Bombyx mori: one gene and its partner. The protein of the gene in region 1 interacts with the protein of each later gene in a biochemical or structural test. Links are inferred from orthologs where the notes say so. Each region holds a gene or a part of one and is shown on either strand. Other genes may lie near its edges. The genes, in order: dynamin-1-like protein and mitochondrial fission 1 protein.

Evidence for each region.
Region 2: the proteins of dynamin-1-like protein (region 1) and mitochondrial fission 1 protein form a complex in vitro, tested with the Homo sapiens proteins (2 studies listed by BioGRID). The link is inferred for Bombyx mori from reciprocal best matches to the Homo sapiens genes DNM1L and FIS1.

The regions. Positions count from the first base shown.
Region 1 is NC_085119.1:10,593,490-10,597,325, forward strand, and holds part of dynamin-1-like protein, read right to left. Parts: coding exon 3,782-3,836; intron 2,856-3,781; coding exon 2,784-2,855; intron 2,566-2,783; coding exon 2,442-2,565; intron 1,963-2,441; coding exon 1,867-1,962; intron 164-1,866; coding exon 1-163. UniProt on the Homo sapiens protein: Functions in mitochondrial and peroxisomal division.
Region 2 is NC_085110.1:17,564,016-17,568,450, forward strand, and holds the start of mitochondrial fission 1 protein, read left to right. Parts: upstream 1-1,512; 5' UTR 1,513-1,693; coding exon 1,694-1,738; intron 1,739-1,824; coding exon 1,825-1,938; intron 1,939-3,536; coding exon 3,537-3,707; intron 3,708-4,435. UniProt on the Homo sapiens protein: Involved in the fragmentation of the mitochondrial network and its perinuclear clustering. Plays a minor role in the recruitment and association of the fission mediator dynamin-related protein 1 (DNM1L) to the mitochondrial surface and mitochondrial fission.

The DNA of each region.
Region 1 (3,836 bases):
TCGTTGAGCATGCTCTCGGCCTGGTCAGACTTGTACAGGTGAGTGACGAGCTCGGACTGCAGATTGTCCTTCACAAAATTCACTAAGAAATGCATAACAGCCTTTGGTACAGAGTCCTGAATGGATTTCCGGACGATGTAGAAATAAGACTTGATCAGTCTCTCTGAAAAAGAAAAAAAAAGTTTTTTGTTTATTATTATTATTATATACAGTAAAGTCGGAAATATTATAATATATTTTTGCATTATGTTACACATTGTGTTAGGCATTGTACAACATCGCAACCAAATGTAATAATGGATTAATGAGAAATATAATCCTTCATAGAATACATGTACTTAAAATAGTACCACTTTTTAAACAGTGTATGAACGCGGTCTTATAATAATCGAGTTAGTAAATCGAGTGCAACCGATGAAAGAGGTGATTTATTGGTGACTTGTAAGCACATTTTTAGCTAGACAACAACTCCGGATTTAATTATCCAACAGCATTGTGTAAATTTTCCTCCAGTTTTCGAGAAAACAAATTATAATTTAAACTACTTTTTCGGTTTGAGCTCGCGTTAATTATCTCCGACATTTTGAATATTTTGATAGTTTTTGTCGTCACACGAACTGAGGCGTTATTCGCGATATTTGAAACTTCGGGAAAAATCAAATCTAAATAATAAACGTGTGGTTAACCAACCGCAACAGTAGTTTTAATTAAGCATTGTTTAGTTGAGAATTTTATCTAAAGCTTCAATCTAGTTTGTTGTGGTGCATGTACAATAGTAGGATAGTTACTCTTGCGTTTATTAAAATTTCTGATGTACATATTATTATTAGCACCTTGTTTTTAATCATATTTGCTATTGTAAATACTATTATGTTCTAAAGTTCAAAAAAGGCTGTTGAACATTAAGCGGGTGAGTACAGAAACTGGATGAGTATTCAACTTATACGCCACTATTTTTTAATTACCAAAACTAGTATTATATGCCTCCGATATTAAATAAAACTAAGATTATTTAGAAAGATAAATCGATATAAAAACCCATATAAGCAAAAAAAGTCAGGTATACGTAGATCAAATATTAACAAGGGCTATAAATTCAATCGCCGTTGCATTCATAAATCGCAGGGCACCGAAACCCGGATTTTCATTGAAGATGTTTATCTCCGAGATCTTTGCCATGTTTTTTTTTCAGTTTTATAAATCATTGCTTTAAATTATTAAACTATTATACATAATCGAAAAGAGTCCTTTTTGCATTGGCTGTTAATTTAATTTTGGTAATTAAAGATTAGTGGTGCATGAATATGACTTTAGTGATACACAAAACGAAGCCTAAGGCGTTAGGAGTGACTGCAGATTCTTACCATAGAATTTACCAACTTAATAGAATGATCTATTTATTTTAACACTTGCTACAACTTTTCAACATGTAGATGTCTCTAAGGTCAATGTTTATGATCATTATTGGACATTCTAAATGTATAATATTTGGTTATAACGTAAACCAAATTTAAAAACACAAAATACATTTATGATTATTTTTCCTTTAAACAACAATGTGATAATCACAATCTGTATAAAAATATATATAAACCATACTAGTATATGACATCAAGCAAAAACCATTACACAACACAAGAAAATTAGAATAAATATATATCTTAGTTTGTGTCACTTTTAGCTGAACATCACAGCATAGATAAAAAACGATATAGATAAAGTATTGTTTATGGCCATATTTTTTGAGTTTATTAGTATAACCTGTGGTCACTCCGACCGCTACTCAGATGATAGGTGGTCGGAAGGCTAGAGATAGCTATGAGTAAACAAAGCATAGATGCCGGTGTATCTACGGACTAGCCTCACCAACTAAATCACCCATTTGATTCAGTTGCATCACGTTGATGCCGTCTACTGTCTTTACGTTACTGTTTAAGACTGTTGTGTTGTCGCTCCGTCCACCTAGCATCACAACAAAATTGAATCTCTAATCTTATGGGATGAATATTAAGAAAACATAAGAGCATACGAGCCCACGGCCCATCTGCAGGTTAAATCCATAGACAACAAGTATGCCACCTGTTATTGAACCGAGATATGAGGTTGAAGTTTAAAGTTTTGATATAACGGCTATATCTATAACTCAAACCGGAATTATATGACAGATTCGATACTATGTTTCTGTTAGATAGTTAGTCTCATGAAAATACCTTGTTTAAAAAAATTGTTAATACGAAATTTATGGTACCAATACCAATGATTTAAATTAGATTCTATTTTAGTTATTAAAAATTATAAAATCAATGAACAAATTTCCCATAAAAAGTAAAATTACCAAAAAATTCAGTGGTTATACATTAAATTATAATTAGATTTTATAATTAAAAATGTTACTTAAAAACACTAGAGCAGCTGATATTAATATTGTACACTACACCCACCTATGACGTCACAGTCGTGTTGTTCACGTTCTGACAGTTTACGTGATGTTTGGATCGGTACTTCGGGCAGAAGGTTCACTGGCTTCTGAGGAGTCAGTGCCTTGTTGTCTGGCATTCCGTTGATCTTTAACAACAACCAAAAAAAAAATACTATACGATTTATCCAATACAAAATTCAAATACTTTCCTTTGACAAACTAGTTGAATTAGACATTTAAAAACCCCAAAGTTTAACAGTTTATTACAGTTACCAAACTAGCCTTGACCTATTCAACATAATTTAACTATATTGTCTACAAATAATGTAGGATAATTTATGTGATTTTTATGTTATTTACATACCTGTGGGGTCGACGGTGTTTCGCTGATGTTTTGTGGAGATTTCTCGTGACCATCGGTTATAGCGGGAACATTCTGTAATATTTGTAATCTTTGTTTTATAACCAATTGAAAATATTGTAGAACTCATTTGTAACGTGTACAGTTTAAGTCTCAAAGAAAACAATGAACTCAATGTGTATTTACAGAGAGACAAACGATTGCTACAATCTATAAAGCGAATGAATAGATAAATATGAAATTATTTCATTTGTTTTTCGATTAATTCATTATCGCTGACAATCAATCGGGTGTAAAATTATGCGTCACTGTAACGAGGTAATTATTGTGGCAGATACGATTACTTCACTTGAAAATCCTTTTCATTGGAACCTAGATATAGTATTTTATGCCCTTTGAGCCTTGTCTAGAATTAGTTTGGGACCGTCGCTTAAAATTTTTATTAATATTTACAGAATTATATTTTTGTGCATAAAATAAAAATCATGTCTCAAGATTATGCCATTATACATTTCGTGATGTCTTTGGACTCTGAAAATTCCTTTGCATTAGGTATGGAGTAATAGAAAAAAAATATATTATTCTTTTAATTATATATTTATATCATATGGGGCCGTGCAGGCTCTACTTGGAAGAGGAAATGCCACGACCGGGACTTATGGCAGGGTTTGGGGGAGGGAGGCCTATGCGAAAGCAAAACAATCTTTGCCGATGTTAAATGTTAGAAAAATTACATTAATAGTATGTACCTAAATATGAATTAAGATTGTTAATATGGGGAGCTAGACTGAACTTTAAAGTAAAAAATGACTAATCAAATATTCCGATTGTTTCTACTGACAATCGCTCATAGGTCGACTTCACTGTGATCATGAAAAAGAGTCCATACAGTATTCAAATGGCACGACATCGAACGTCACAACACAAGTTTAGTAGGACAATGAATCGAGAATGAGTGAGGCGAGTTAATGGCGACCCGAATATAACCACGCCACAATTACCTTGTACGCGTCCAATACGCTTGCCAAGAATACTAGGGCGGACCCTCTTTCACCC
Region 2 (4,435 bases), on another chromosome or scaffold:
ATATCTATTGTAACTTACAAAAATTGTTTTAGCTTACTTGTTTACATCGTCTGTAGCATGGCACATTTCGAGTTATAAGGAATTGTTTGTCTGCAGGAAGGTAAGGCCTAATCTTAGCTTCCTCTCCCTTTGCCCACTGCCAGGTAGGGCAGTGGTGTACCAGGTGGTCACCAGCAGCTACAAACTCTTCAGGAGTCAGTACACCAGTTTCTTGAAATTTCGATTCCTAGAAATAAGTGAAGTTAATATAAATAAGCCTTTGGTTTGTTTTCAAATTTCTTAGTAACCTAATTGACTTGCAAATGATCCTCAAATCCCCATATTCTGGAATTACCGTTCAAATTGTGAGACACTCACTACAGAATATTACATTTTAAATAAATATGAAGCATAGAAATAAATATTTATTTTTACAGGGTAAAAAGATTATCAATATGTTCGGTCAGTCACCGATTCATATATATAATGAGTAATTTCAATATGTATGTAATTAATAATGATCGTGATAAACGTACCTTCAACACCGGTGTCAAGTAACCGGCCACGCCAAGAGCAGTTCCCTTTACTGTGTTTATTACACTTTGCATTGTGATGTCCCTAATAGGATTATGGGTTGTTAAAAAAACTATGAGCTGTCTTTTACACTATCTACTACGTATACCTAGCAATTGCCGGCCCACAAAAGAACTTATCAATTTGACCAAATTTGACAATTCAATTTGATTTGATTTAATTCTTTGTTCAAGTGTTTTCTCGTTCGGTGGTTACCGTTCTCGAATATATTAAGTGTATAATCTATGGTTACCGTATGTACCATAGATTTTAAACCATGGAGTTAATAAGTATAGTAACTCTATGTTTTAAACTTAATCTCTGTCTGTAATTTTAATTCAGTTTAAGCAGTGACACTTTTGCTGCAGGGATCTCGAACATTGTACCTATGCGTGTGTTGCCTGTGGTATTCGTATCGTTAGGTTTTCGCTCATGTCATGTCATGCGGCCCGTACACACGTTAACTCTCTCCAGGTCATCCAATCTTGTTTCTGCAGGATAGCCGTCAGAGCGTCGTGGTATGTGAGGAATGTAAATCTTCACGACGATCTAAATTTAGTACCGATTCGTAAATATCTTATGGAAGCGTCAGAAGGTCAGAGCGTTATTCAACAAAACGGTGCCACACGCAAGTAGATTATGCGAAGCCTACTCTAGTAGGACTAGTGGTAGCAAATTCTTTCAGGTCGAGTTTGTGAGCTTACCTAGCCGTCGGGAATAGCTTCTTAAGCTACCAACGAATAAATAGAGAAAAAAAATCATTTGCTTGAAAAATTGTAGCGAGATATGACTTTAGTCTTTTCTATAAAGACTTTTAATCCCTTTGGCTTTGTTACTAGGTCTTTTTTATAATACTAAGTAAATGTACTTTCTAACTTTTTCAGTACCTAAATTATTTCGAAATATACTGTGTGGTCGGATGTTTTTGCCTTTCTTAACCTGGAAAAACTTAAGTGCCACTGAATCATCATGAACGATGTCAAACATTCAATGTCAAAATTGTCAAACAATCCATAATTCCATTTATTCTGCATTGCAAATCTACCAATTTCTCGTAATAAACCTTACACGGTACACCTATTTTTCTTTTTGTAAACGTTAAATATCTAATCAAAGTTATCATTTATAGTAACCGGCTACAATGGAAGACGTATTAGACGAGATTGTTTCATCGGAAGATTTGCAAGTAACGATTAAAACTTTGTTGTTGATAGTGACTCACAAATAAATTTACAATTGTTCATAAATCTTTGTTTGTTTTTTTTTTTGTAGAAATTCGAGAGGGTCTTTCATGAACAATTGCATCAAGGGAACGTTTCCCACAAAGCCCAGTTTGAATACGCATGGTGTTTAGTGCGCAGCAAGTATCCAACGGATATACGAAAGGTACATTTATTTACAAATACATAGTATAAAAACTGACGTCAATTTTACAGATCTCATTACAGTGGTATGTCAGAATATTATGCATATCATCAACTTGACTTGTTTTTGCCAAATTTGCTAAACAAAGCCATATTTATATATTTAAACATTAAGATATCTAAATATTTAATACAAATATACTTAATATAGAATACTATAGTCGGATTTTTTATTAGACGAAGTCAACTGACGTTTACTGTGTTGTCAGTTTTTGATGAAATAAAAATAATGTTGTGACAAAGTGAACGATTGAAAAAACTCCTGAATTAATAAAATTGCCTCGATTGTCTAGTGAACAGTTGGTGTGCCGAATTGCCGATATCGGGTACGGGTTTCGAATTTTAGGCGTGCTTTGTACATACCAACGAGTTTTCGACGAAATATTATGTTCCTATAGTATCTACCTGTACTGAATACCGAGTGTTTTAATTAAGAAAAACACTGCGAGGAAGCTTGTAAGACTGTCATATTTCCAATACATCATGTAGTTGAAATTATAGATGTATAAAATATAACAATTATAGGTAGGTAATGAAAATAAAAAAAGCTGATTGTAGTTACATACTATTAGCAACATATATTGGAGCACTTTAATACAATTTTATTGTAAAATATAAATAATACTCTTTTATAGTTTGAAATTAATGATTAACTCTTCACACTCATTGTTCATTTGTGATTGAACGAGAACTGAACGCATCACTATTACTTTAAATATAGCAACATTATTTCACAAAGTGACATTAGCTACTGTCAGCTAGCTTCGTCTAATTAAAAATCCGACTATAGCACTGAATATCACTACATTAGAAGAAACGATTGTTGTTTCTGATATTTTTAAACCATTCATTTCATTTCCTGTTAGTTAAGTGTTTTTATTATTTTGAATGTGTATTCCAATGGACACATGAGATTGATAATTAAAAATAAATGGAACTCATCATGGCTTAAAGGATGAGTCTGCAGTGTACATGTTTCAAGGGATGTTACAATTTTAGTGTTAAAGTCTCATAGGCATGTGCAAGTTTTTTAAGGACTGACTTCCAAGGCAAAGAAATTATATTACATATTTAACTAAAAACCAATTATTATTCCACAACTTGCTTAATAACTACTGGTAACAGGGAATACTGTGTATAATTAATGTTCACACTGGTAGTCAACACTATTTTGTCTATTACTGCCACATAATAGTCATGTTTTCTGGTTTGAAAGGTGAGACAACCCTTACACAAAATAATTGAGACTTATCTTAAAGTCAGGATGGCAAAGTTTACATTATGATATATATTTACCAGTCTGAGCATAGTTGGAATAGCCCCTTGGGCTACCAATGATTAGGGAAAACATTTAAGAAAACAATTACCTCCTTTCGGACTTTTGTTAATAAGATAATGAATTCAAATCATTAATTTTTTTATTGTTTTGTCTTAAGTTTTAATCTTTTAAGCATCAAGTAAAAGCAGAAAAGAATGTATAATTTACTTGACAGCTGGAACTACAAAGCACGCTTAAACATTTCAAGTCTTCAGAAGTTCTAAGATGAGTATACTTTACAGGGAATCTTACTTCTTAAAGAATTGTTCAACTCTCATCCTGAAGGCAAACGTGACTACCTTTTCTACCTTGCCATTGGTAATGCCAGAATAAAGGAGTACAATAAGGCTTTGCATTATGTGAAATCATTCCTCGAGATTGAACCCGCTAATCAGCAAGTATTGGCATTAGAGGTAAGATCAGCTATAATAACATAAGTTCGAATGGCAGAATAGTAGAGTAGATACATGAGAAATCTTACATTTGAAGATAAATAATGACATTAGTCAGTTTGGCAATAAGTCTGAAGATATGAGTATGTATATGTGTTTTTTTTTGGGCTGTCCGCTGAACTTCATATGAGATTGTGGTAGGGCCAAACGAGTCCCCTAGCATATTTCACCCCTCGTTTGATCTCCGCCTGGAGTCAGACCCAGTCAGAATAGGGAGGTACTAGTGATGAACAATACAAGAATGGCCAGGCCACCCTTAGGACGTCTGACCGAAAGGTTGCCGAGGCGACAGCCGACAACTTTACGTCGGCCCCGCTCAGAGCCGCTGATGACACGGAATATCCTGTTAAACCAAAACTGGCCTACTGGGTTGGGAGGGGATACACCAACAACCATAAATACTGTCCCACAGCAGTTCTGTAGAACTATTGTCTTAAAGCAAAATATATCACAATAAATAATATATAATCGTATATAAGCCCTTAATACTGGTTCAAGAAATAGTGAGTAGTGAACCTTTTTTGACAAAGAAAAAAAATTGAAAAAGAAATTTGGTAAAAGTTAATGTAGTAAATTTCTCTCCAGCTACGCATTAAGCCCTCACCTCAAGCTTCTACTATTTAGGTATTTCTAGTTATCCTAAGTGCTCTTCTGGCGGTCCACTCACCACTCATCATTCCATTAACCAT